Linked DNA regions of Daphnia pulex. The protein of the gene in region 1 binds, or shares a complex with, the protein of each later gene. Links are inferred from orthologs where the notes say so. Each region holds a gene or a part of one and is shown in the gene's direction. Other genes may lie near its edges.

The links.
Region 2: the proteins of armadillo repeat-containing protein 8-like (region 1) and glucose-induced degradation protein 8 homolog are in contact, whole or in part, in a cryo-EM structure (PDB 7NSC), measured with the Homo sapiens proteins. The link is inferred for Daphnia pulex from reciprocal best matches to the Homo sapiens genes ARMC8 and GID8. Residues at the interface, in NP_001350870.1 of Homo sapiens: Asn45, Val47, Ile48, Gly49, Asn50, Val85, Ser89, Met92, Arg127, Arg130, Arg161, Tyr162, Tyr166, Leu200, Ser201, Tyr202; in NP_060366.1 of Homo sapiens: Ile83, Ala84, Asn87, His90, Pro91, Glu92, Leu94, Asp95, Thr96, Tyr101, Tyr183, Glu184, Asn185.
Region 3: the proteins of armadillo repeat-containing protein 8-like (region 1) and glucose-induced degradation protein 4 homolog are in contact, whole or in part, in a cryo-EM structure (PDB 7NSC), measured with the Homo sapiens proteins. The link is inferred for Daphnia pulex from reciprocal best matches to the Homo sapiens genes ARMC8 and GID4. Residues at the interface, in NP_001350870.1 of Homo sapiens: Glu309, Pro310, Asp311, Val312, Asn371, Glu373, Arg406, His409, Arg413, Ser414, Val415, Gln416, Arg419, Thr420, Gln423, Asp424, Val444, Ser448, Cys451, Asn452, Leu455, Phe457, Ala483, Val486, Asn487, Trp490, Met493, Asn494, Phe497, Gln498; in NP_076957.3 of Homo sapiens: Leu104, Ile105, Pro106, Pro107, Pro108, Pro109, Ile110, Gln114, Pro115, Gly116, Val117, Ala118, Thr119, Gly125, Gln146, His147, Tyr154, Cys156, Tyr158, Phe174, Glu176, Phe239, Val241, Pro242, His244, His292, Ser293, Ala294, Pro295, Ile296.

The regions. Positions count from the first base shown.
Region 1 is NC_060025.1:9,364,900-9,369,250, reverse strand, and holds the start of armadillo repeat-containing protein 8-like, read left to right. Parts: upstream 1-1,463; 5' UTR 1,464-1,561; coding exon 1,562-1,588; intron 1,589-1,649; coding exon 1,650-1,723; intron 1,724-1,788; coding exon 1,789-1,913; intron 1,914-1,982; coding exon 1,983-2,072; intron 2,073-2,138; coding exon 2,139-2,332; intron 2,333-2,394; coding exon 2,395-2,973; intron 2,974-3,034; coding exon 3,035-3,217; intron 3,218-3,286; coding exon 3,287-3,496; intron 3,497-3,562; coding exon 3,563-3,904; intron 3,905-3,971; coding exon 3,972-4,138; intron 4,139-4,199; coding exon 4,200-4,230; 3' UTR 4,231-4,351. Other genes in the region: stathmin-4-like, read right to left, coding at 46-186, 249-389, 447-623, 686-811, 868-917, 990-1,014. UniProt on the Homo sapiens protein: Component of the CTLH E3 ubiquitin-protein ligase complex that selectively accepts ubiquitin from UBE2H and mediates ubiquitination and subsequent proteasomal degradation of the transcription factor HBP1.
Region 2 is NC_060019.1:2,413,439-2,416,557, forward strand, and holds glucose-induced degradation protein 8 homolog, read left to right. Parts: upstream 1-1,377; 5' UTR 1,378-1,435; coding exon 1,436-1,556; intron 1,557-1,628; coding exon 1,629-1,888; intron 1,889-1,953; coding exon 1,954-2,208; intron 2,209-2,258; exon of another isoform or gene 2,259-2,349; coding exon 2,350-2,406; 3' UTR 2,407-2,525; downstream 2,526-3,119. Other genes in the region: AT-rich interactive domain-containing protein 1B-like, read right to left, coding at 1,250-1,272; nucleoporin NUP35-like, read right to left, coding at 2,572-2,649, 2,724-2,924, 2,992-3,108. UniProt on the Homo sapiens protein: Core component of the CTLH E3 ubiquitin-protein ligase complex that selectively accepts ubiquitin from UBE2H and mediates ubiquitination and subsequent proteasomal degradation of the transcription factor HBP1.
Region 3 is NC_060026.1:848,901-852,093, reverse strand, and holds glucose-induced degradation protein 4 homolog, read left to right. Parts: upstream 1-1,297; 5' UTR 1,298-1,711; coding exon 1,712-1,858; intron 1,859-1,918; coding exon 1,919-2,086; intron 2,087-2,153; coding exon 2,154-2,248; intron 2,249-2,314; coding exon 2,315-2,516; 3' UTR 2,517-2,611; downstream 2,612-3,193. Other genes in the region: probable ATP-dependent RNA helicase DDX5, read left to right, coding at 385-615, 678-773, 841-863; ras-related protein Rab-40B-like, read right to left, coding at 2,812-3,047.

The DNA.
Region 1 (4,351 bases):
TAACGGCATCTTTTACATTAGGAATGAACAAAAATAACAAATTACCTGTTCCTTGAGCTTCTCCAGCATCTCCTTTTCAATCTCTTCGCGTTTTTCAGCCGCCAGTTGAATCTTGGAATGGATTTGCTCCTCCATGGCTTTGGTCTTTTCTTCACTGCTCTGTTTGACAGACTTGATATGTTCTTCCTGCAATAAATTAATTTAAATTAATTTCTAGTTTCCATGCGAATAATTAAAGACATTATTACGTGAAGGCGTAGCTTCTCTTGAAGTTGTTTGATGATTTCGTCACGCTTCTCATCAGCTGATTTCAGCTTCTCGTCAATTTGCTTTTGGATCTCTTGAAGCTTGGTATCGTTAGTCACCCTGACTGTTTCCACTCGTTCCAACTAGGCACGATGAATAAGTTTACCAGATAACTTATCTTTACAATGAAATACACTTACATGCTCCTTCAACTTGGTCTTGAGAGAGTTCAAGTGAGCCTCTCTCTTCTCCTGAGATTCCTCCATCTTCGCATCTAAATTTTCTTTGGTTTTGGTGACAAAAGTTGAGACAATCTCTTGCCTCTTTTGCACAGCTTGGTTGATTTTCTCATCCACATCATTGATGGACCTATTAGCCTGGAGAAATCACAAAACACCCCTAAGTAACTGTGACGAGTTAATTTGCTTCTTTGACCAACCTCACGCCTTTCCTTGGCCGCCAATAGCTTCCTCTCAATCTCTTCTTCAGAGGGCTGAGGACGAGTTGGTGTTGAAACAGTGAGTGGTGAAGGGGGGCGATCGCTTACTGGTTCTGCTAAGATAACCTAGTTGACAATGAACCATGAAGTTATGTTTCAGTGAACATGTGGCAAGACTTTACCTCATAACTCAATCCTCCCTTGGATTTCTCTTCCCCACGAATAGCAGCAACTGCAAGCACCATAATACCAAGAGTTAGGCAACTCTAAACCACAAAAGATTGACCAATGAAATCCTACATACCTTCTTGATCAATAGGGCTAGACATAGCTGTAGACACCTAATCGATTAAGATCAATAAAAAGATTACGTCATGAATTCAGGCGTGGTCCTCGTCACGATCAATTCCAACAAAGGAAGTTTAAACAAGGATTCACAATTCAATTGGCAAGTACAAATATTAACCCTCTACTCAAATGACAGTGTAAATTAACGTTGAACAATCAATTACCTTGGCAAAGACAAAATTATAAAGGAAAAAAGTCTCGTGGAGGAGTTCGAACCAACGTTCTCGTTTGCAAGCGAAATGGCGAATGAATGCAAGTGAAATAGAATAACGAAACTGGCTACTGGGGTTCAGTTGACATGGCGACCGCCTTTTGTTACTTACCCCCTCCCCATTTTTGCGGGCGCGGGAAAAGTGAAAACTCTTGCCCTGCAGCTGATTTTTATGAAAAACGAAAACTGGCGCCCTTTTCAATTTTACAACGCCATCTAAAGTGAAAAAGTTGCACTATGTACTAGTAGCGTCTGCTAGCAGACAATCCGGCTTGAGCCATTTTCGAACAGAGACGCATTTTCATTTGGGAAGAAAAATGACTAAACTAATTCATTCAATCATGGTAAAGAATTCGGGACATTTTTCCATTCTGGTTATTTTTATCAATTATTTGGTCATTTTAGGACGTTGAGAGCTGTAACTCGTACGTTGACAACCTTTACGATGTAGACAGTGCAAAATGCCTAGATGCTGTCATGTAAATATTTTTGTATTTGTATTCCAAGAAAGGAAAGTGATAATCCAACAGTTGTTTTTTCATAGATACATCAAAAACATGATTATCGGTTCCAACAAGGCCAAGAATATGATCATTCAACAGGGTATTACTCCAAGATTGATTCAGTTACTCGACGATCCTATTGGTGGTGATGATCTCAAATTGGAGGGTAAATATCACATTCAGAAATAGGGTGTCACAACAATAGATTCAATCGGTTTTCTTTGTTGATTTTTAGTGATAGCAGTGATTGGATCCCTTGCACGAGGAGATGAAAACCACATTAAATCCCTAACAGCAGCGGGAGTTATTCCTTTCCTACTAAACAGTAACGTGATTTCCTTTGTAGCTAATTTGAAACTAAAATCTGAAACTTTTCTTTTTCATGTGACAGATGTCTGCGCATCAACAAATCCTCAAGTTATTGAATTTGCCCTCAGAGCCCTGCAACAGTTATTTCAGAACGAAGCGACAAAGACTGACCTCCTGTTTGCAGATTCAAGATTGGTGCCCCAGCTGTTGAAACTCATGCCACTGTCAGTTTGCAACCAAATATCTGTCACTTCCATCTTTACCAATGCCTGCAAGGTGGATAGTACAATGTCAATAATGCCTGAAAGATTGATACATTTCAACTTTTTTGAACCTAGACGTCTGAACACCAAGCGATTCTCTGCGCCAACGGAGCCGTTCCAGCCCTGGCCGCTTTGCTCAATTCTCCTGTAGGCGATGTTCAGTTAGCCACTTTGGACGCTATCGCTTCCCTGTGCTATCAGAACCAACGCGTTTCGGCCCTTCTGACTGTCTCCAGCTTCGGCGGCAAATCCGTGACGGACCACTTGGTGACTTTGATGGCCCGTGACAGGCCGGTGGCCATGCAGCTTGTAGCAGCCCGCTGTCTGACCTATCTACATCGAGCTGGAGCGATCTGTGCTGACGATGGCAAGATCTTGTACAAGACATTGCCTTGTCTGGTGCGGATGTGCCGGAAAGAGAACAGGCGAACGGAAAAGGCTCTTGGTGCGGAAACACTGGCCTATCTGATAGAAGTTGACACGGAACTGCAAAGAGTGGCCTCCATTTCCGACCACCTCATTCAAAATCTTTCGCTATTTTTGGCTAAAACTCGAGATAACTCGTCGGTGCAGCAACTTGGAGTCGAGTCGATTGACGAAGACGCTCCTGCCAGCGCCAAAGAAGTTCAAAATCTGAAACAAGCCGCTCTCCGGGTAATTCATTCAATTCCATTCAAACGAGAAAGAGATACTTAATATGATTCCTTGTCAAAAGGCATTTGCATCGTTGGGCGCCAATGACGAAGACATCCGTAAAAGGATCATTGAGACGGACCAGTTGATGGATCACGTGGTGACGGGATTGACGGAATGTGGGGATCACAGAGTCCAGTTGGCTGCCGTCCGGTGCCTTCATTCTCTGTCTCGATCTGTCCAGCAACTACGAACAACTTTTCAAGTAATTCAATCACCCCCCCAAACAAATTTGAGCCAAGGTCTGTAACAAGGTGACGTTCAATTCAATTAGGATCATTCAGTGTGGAAGCCGCTGATGAAGTTATTGCAGAATGCGGACGAAGACATTTTGGCCGTGGCGTCGTCGACGCTGTGCAATTTGCTGTTGGAATTCTCGCCGTCCAAGGAGCCCATCCTCGAGTCTGGTGCCGTGGAACTTTTATGCAATTTGACGCGTAGAGAAGATTCCGCTCTGAGACTCAACGGCATTTGGGCCCTGATGGTATTTGTTCATCGAGTCCAAAGACAACAAAATTGATTCAATTGACCCCCGTCTTATATTATATAGAACATGGCGTTCCAGGCCGAGCAGAAAATCAAGATTCAAATCTTGTCGTCGCTGGGCACGGACCAAGTCTTCCGGCTCCTCTCTGACCACGAAGTTGGCGTCGTCATGAAAACGCTTGGCTTATTGAGGAATTTGTTATCGACAAAGCCGCATATTGATTTGATTATGGCCCAGCACGGTCGTCAGATCATGCAGGCCGTCATTCTGATATTGGAGGGCGAGCACAGCCCCGACGTCAAGGAACAGGCCCTGTGCATTCTGGCCAATATCGCTGACGGTGAAACGGCCAAGGAATTCATCATGTCCAATGAGGACGTCCTGCGCAAACTCACCAATTACATGGTATCTAATATTTTTAAATCCATCCATCGCCTCCCAAGTTTAATACGTCAATTCTATTTTCTTCCAGTCGCATTCGAATGTCAAACTGCAGACGGCCGCCACGTTTTGCATCGGCAATTTGGCGTGGAACGAAGACAACGGCTGCCTCGAACGTCAGGCGCGTCTGAGGGAATTGGGCGTTTATCGAATTTTGCAGCAACTCCTCTGCACCAACGACGCCACACTCTTCGAAAAGTAAAACGTAGAATTTCATTGACCTTGACGTTGCATAATAACGTTTCCTTGTCTTTAACAGGGTCAAAGCGGCACTGCAGCAGTTCTCCTAAACAAATCGGAAGTCTCCTACACCACGCCCCTATCAAATATTTGTGTATTTTACATAATTTGGAAATACTCGGAATCCGGCAACTGTTTATGTCTCATAAGATAACTTTATTATCATCATTA
Region 2 (3,119 bases), on another chromosome or scaffold:
AGGATTTCCCGTCTTTCATCCGCATGTCTCTCTTCGTGGTTTTCCATCGGGGTGGAGTTGCGTTGAGAGGGGAAGGAGGGACCCGGAGGGAGGGAATACGGGACGCGGAAACCCAAAATGCGGGCGTCGTCGTCGTCGCTGTTCATCCCGTGAAAAACAAAACAAAAAACTCCTTTTTTCATCGTTGTAACTGCGTGTGTGTGTATGCTGGTGTCTTTTCTTTATCTAAATCTTCTTGTTTTTTAAAGGGGAAAAAAAATCTGCCATCACCTTTCGAACGGTTTCCAAGGGAAGAAGAAAACGGTTCCGGCGCAATCCAAATATTATCGCGACTAGAAGCTCTTTTTTTTTCAGTTTTCGGGGTTGTTATTTCTCACCGGTATACGGCGGCGGCAGCGGCCCAACGGTTTTTGTTTAGTCGATGAGTAGAGAGTGAGTGCTAGCATGAGAGAGTGTTGACGCCCTTTAGGATATCAACACCAGCACCGACGGACTGAACGACCGACAGACCGTGTGTGCTTTTAATCCCCCAAAGAGAGAGAGAGAACGCGTCACACACACCAGCCGAAAAAAATGAAAGAAAAGCCTAGGCCGATCATCGCCACCTTGAACCGAAATGTCAATTTTTTTCAATGCAAATCGCGCTGATTGAGGGCAGAGTTGAGGAGGTGTTAGAGACGTAAACCAAAATACATACCTTGGCTAGCTACACTAATGATACTCAAATGGTGATCTTGGCCATTTTTGATCATCCAACGTTGTTGAATCATGAATGAATTTCCATCTCATCAGATTCCTGAAACAACTGACAGGCAGTCCGTCATCCTCTCCATGGATGGGATTTAATTACCACTCGTCTTGTAATTTAACTCTCTTAAGTTGAGATTAATCCTCTGGTATTTACATCACAAGTCTGTTTCGGTCAGATTCAAGGGGGTAAAAACAGTGAGTTGACGTCAACATCAGTGGCAGTACTCAATCCAGGGAATAAGTTGGAGGAAACCTTTGCAGTAACTTACAAAACCCATTAGGAGTAGCTGTAAGCTTGGAGAAATAAAAAAAGAAACGAGACGCCAAAAACTAAAAGTTTCATAACAGCTATTATAGCTTGTTGGTAGACCCACCCTTTACTATATGTCACTGTGAATATGGACGCTGAACGCAAACAAACTGTACGGCCGTTCGTCACTCAATGAATCAATTTGACCGATAAGATGGTTTAGCTTGATAAAGGAACAATTGAGCTTACTTGTTTCGATCAAGGTCTTCCATAACTGCAGATAAACTTCACGGAACTCGGGAAACCATGGCTTTAATATTTCGTGACTGACGTTTAATAGTCGGCCATTTTGCAGTTTTGCTGTGTAGTTGACAGCGCCACCGCTCTTTTTATTTACATCCCGATGTTGATCGAAACAGTGTACAGTAGTAGAAAATGACCGCATTTACAGACAAGCCTTCAGAAATTGGCAAGCAAGAATGGTTGGAAAAGTTGGAAAATGTTCATCTACCGCGTACGAACATGAATCGTCTAGTGATGAACTACTTAGTGACTGGTAAAATTATTTTTTTTCTAGTTGTGTTGTTCTCCTTTTTAACCAGATTGCATTATGACATGAACTTTGCAGAGGGTTTCAAAGAAGCTGCTGAAAAATTTGCATTAGAGGCAGGCTTCAAGGCTCCTGCGGAGCTGGAGAGATTGGATGAAAGGATCAAAATAAGGGATGCCATTCAGGCTGGGAAAATTCAGGAAGCAACAGCCTTGGTTAATCAACTGCATCCAGACTTACTTGATTCAGATCGTTATCTCTTCTTCCACCTCCAACAGCAACATCTCATTGAACTCATCAGGCAAAAAAATATTGAAGAAGCTTTGAAATTTGCTCAGGTAAATTCAACTTACCAAAGTCATCTGCACATAATTTTCATCCCAGAGTTTGTCTATTAAAATAGGAACATTTAGCTGAACGTGGAGAACAGAATCCAGCCATCTTAGGGGAATTGGAGAGAACCCTAGCACTATTGGCCTTTGATGACCCTGAAAAATCCCCCTTTGGAGATCTACTACATACTTCTCACCGTCAACGAGTTGCCAGCGAGTTGAACGCCGCAATCCTCAAGGCAGAGCATCGTGAATCCACAACCCCTCAACTAGTCTCCTTGATGAAATTGGTCATGTGGTCTCAAGATCAGCTTGATCAGAGAAAAGTGGGTGCTAAATTGTCAGAATACTTCTCTGAACTAGTGTCAGGAAAAAGTTGAATTGGACAGTCTTTTATTGTGATGCAGCAGATTAAACATCTTTCCATGTCATTGAAGATTTCTACTAGTTTTATTTCGTTTTATTAGGTAAAATATCCACGGCTGACGGACTTGGCGCGCGCCACACTGGATGACCCGAAGTAAATTGTTTCGACCCCAATCAATTACACTCATTTCTTGTTTTGTTCCTTCCATCGACAAAGTCTCTTCACAAATTACTCTTTAATCAACTGATCCATCGGAATACAGACTCGTTAAAACAACAGGGTGCATCCTGTCAATCCCTTATCCTTAAATACATTGAACATTTTACCAGCCAAAGACAAAATCCATTGCTTTGGAAACCAAACTCGAGTTGGGCTGCGCTGTCGTTCGTTGTTGGTTAACCTTGAGAGTCGATAAACACAAAAGGTGTTGCGTTAGAATTTTAGGACACCATATACGTGATAATATTCTAGTACCTCATAATCAGCTTGTGCTCCTTTGTAAGTCTGAGTCAGTGGTCTAAGATTGCTACGATCCAAAGCAGAGGGAGTTCCACTGGTTCCCAAGGCAAACGAACTGCTTCGATCCCAGATTGCTGGTTGTGGAGTTGAAGTGATTCTCATGGCTGGAGTGCTCATACCTGGCATGTTTTCCTTTCTATTTTCCTCCATAATGGACTGTAAAATACAAAAAGTTAAATTAGACATCAAAGTTATCTTTTCTTCTGGTGATCGTGTGAATTACCCCATCAGTACAGGGAACTACACCAATTATGAGAGTGTCAGTCAAAAGTCTGCCATTCCTGGCTAGGGCTTTTCTAGCTTGTAAGCGGCTGGCAAACTTCAAATGCATCCAGTTTCCCTGAGAGCGAA
Region 3 (3,193 bases), on another chromosome or scaffold:
CAAAGTCCTGCGCGCCGTCTGTGTTGCACCTGGTTTTTCCACCCCTGGCCGATCTCGGAGATTAGAGATGGGACGGGCGTGGCAGAGAACTTGAAAATCAAGCAGCGCATGGCGTGTGCCGGCGGCAACTGGCGAGTGTACTCTCCTCTCACACGCGGAACAGTGTAAACAAAAGGAATTTCGAAGGTACCACAGGTAAAAATTCCTACTACACAACTCCGCACCTTGTTGGTCTCTACAAATTCTTTTTTCAATTTTACATGGTTTCTTTTTCTCGCATTTTTTTATGGCAGTCGCATTGTCGAGTAGGGCTTTTAATTGTTCGGGGAATTTATATTTATTTGAGAGTTCGTTGTCTAATCTTTGTTGTGTTGTGCGCATTAGATGTGGATGATGTCAAATTTGTCATCAACTTCGATTACCCCAACTGCTCCGAGGATTACGTCCACCGTATTGGTCGTACTGGCCGCTCCCAACGCACAGGAACTGCGTACACATTTTTCACTCCCAACAATTCCAAGCAAGCCCAGGATTTGGTGAACGTTTTGACAGAGGCTAACCAAGTTGTCAATCCAAAACTCTACGAACTCGCATCTTCCAATCGCGGTGGAGGAGGTAATTGTCGATGTCAAATATTTGTTTCGTTCTTGATTTTAATGAATATGATGTGTTGACAGGTCGTTCCCGATGGGGAGGCGGTGGAGGCTATGGTGGCCGTGGAGGATACGGAGGTGGAAACCGAGGATATGGTGGCGGACAGTCTTACAACTCTGGTAAATAAACTTGATTGTGATATTGGTTGAATAAAGTATTAAGTCTCTTATTTCTTTGTTTATTTAGGCCGTTCTTGGGTGGAGCGCTAAGACGGACTTCAAACCTAGCACCGATATTCAAAACAATTGTCAACCTAGATTTTTTTTGAATCAACATTTAATTATTCCAATTTAAACAAGTAAAAACGAGGAAGTCTCTTGGCATTTTCATAAAATCCTGTCCGAGCACTAAAGCTCCGTTCCCGACACCACGCTTCATCTTTTCGTTTTTGTAGGCCAATATTTTTTTCGACGTCTTTTCATATCTTTGGCAATTACATCAGCCATTTCACTGACACGTTACAATGTACTCTTATGTTTGTTCGAGTTAACCGGAATACAAAGTAATCGTAACCACCTATGAGTAAAATTGTTTGACTTGAGGTTGTCGATCTGGGTTTTTGGTTAAATAAATTTCTAAAACTGGATTAGTTGGCAATTCTACAAGTGTTCCAGTTGTAGTAGAGAAGGGGTGAAAATAAGTGAAAGGAGTATCAAGCATATTTTTTTATTCTTATGGTTACGTTTCTTTTATAAGCTTTGAACTCGATAGGCTCTGCGTTAAAAATAGTCCTTCAAAACCAGCCCTAGTTATTTCACATTTATAATTCACGCTTCGTACAGTCCATTTTTGTCCTTGTAGAATGTGGCAGTTATTTTTTGTAGGTAGTTGACCAGGCACCAGCCAGATTCGACTCAATAAACGCAAGTGTGAGCAAGGAGAGCAATTTGGCAACATCGCATTTAAATTCAGTGGTGCTTGATTTTTTTTTGGTGTCAGGCAGTAGTCGAGTAAAGCTGTGATCATAACAGCTTGTGTGATTTGTATTGTAGCTTTGATTTGTAAGAATCTTAAATTTTAATCCCAAACTTCTGTCCACTCTGTCAAAAAGTGTCCGATGCCAGTCAAAACAGACGTTCACGTACCACCGCCGGCAAATTCGCATCAGCCAGGAGTGTGTCGATCGCTTTTATACAATGGTTCTCGATTTCAGGGTCATCAGAAATCTAAAGGAAATTGTTACGATGTAGAAGTTGTACTTCAGGTAATGATTCATTAAAATGAGTAAACTGTTTATTTCTAATGTTTCAATTTCTATGTTCAGCATGTTGATGAGGAGAATTCATATTTATGTGGCTACCTGAAAATCAAAGGTTTAACCGAAGAATTTCCCACTCTTACTACTTTCTTTGATGGTGAAATCATCAGCAAAAGATTCCCTTTCCTCACTCGCAAATGGGATGCTGATGAAGATGTTGACAAGAAACATTGGGTATGCGAATTTGATACTTTAGACTTCCCGTCAACTAATAATGAAATGTACCTTTTCAAATTTGCAGAGCAAGTTTCTGTCATTTTATCAATATGCAAAAACTTTCAATTCAGATACTTTTGACTATGATGCCATGCAGGAGACAGATTATGTCTTCATGAGGTGAATATCTTTCAAATTACCAGTAATTGGTCAATCTGATATTGTGACATATGTTTTTACGGTCAGATGGAAAGAACATTTTCTGGTGCCTGATCATACTATCAAAGATATTAATGGGGCCAGTTTTGCTGGTTTTTACTACATCTGTTTTCAAAAGTCGACAGCCACGATCGAAGGCTACTACTACCACCGCAGTTCAGAATGGTATCAATCGCTGACGCTCACTCACGTGCCTGAGCACAGCATTCAAATTTACGAATTTCGATAAAATTCCTTCCACCAAATATCTTGTTTGTTGAAAAAAATAAGCATGAATAACGCCCATCCCGAGTTGTAATAAGAGAAAATCGTTTCGCCTTCTAAGCTCCTTTGTATTTCTTTTCCTTTTTAAGAGGACGAACAAAAAAAAAATACGAGAAAAATTCGTTTAGCAACACGCTGAGAGGATTGACGTAAGGAGACAAAAAAATCATCAACAAAAAAAGAAAGGGAGAGCTGGTAAAACTTTCGAGATAGCTATTGACAATAGAAAAATGTTAAAAAAAAAAGAAGCGACAACGAAATCATGAAATGACGCAGGTGAGTTTTGCGTGAACATGACTGAGTCTTGACTTTTTGATGGCCATCTTCATTTCGTGGTGATGGTTGGGGTGGTGCGGGTGGTGTCGGGCACAGCCGCTGCTAAGGGCGTACGAACGCAGCTGCGAATGAAGCGTTGGTGGCAGAGGAAGCCGATCTATGGTATAGACAGAGGTCTGCGAGACGATTGAGCGGCAGCACAACTCTTGGAGCGATAACACTGTTGATCAAAATTTTAAAAATTAGGATTTCAATTGGGATTGAACAATATCTAAATTCGTTTACACATAACTAAATGGGAACTAATTACTCTAAAGACACCTATGTAAAAATTAGGCGTACACGTTTAAGACTTAAGAAAACAAA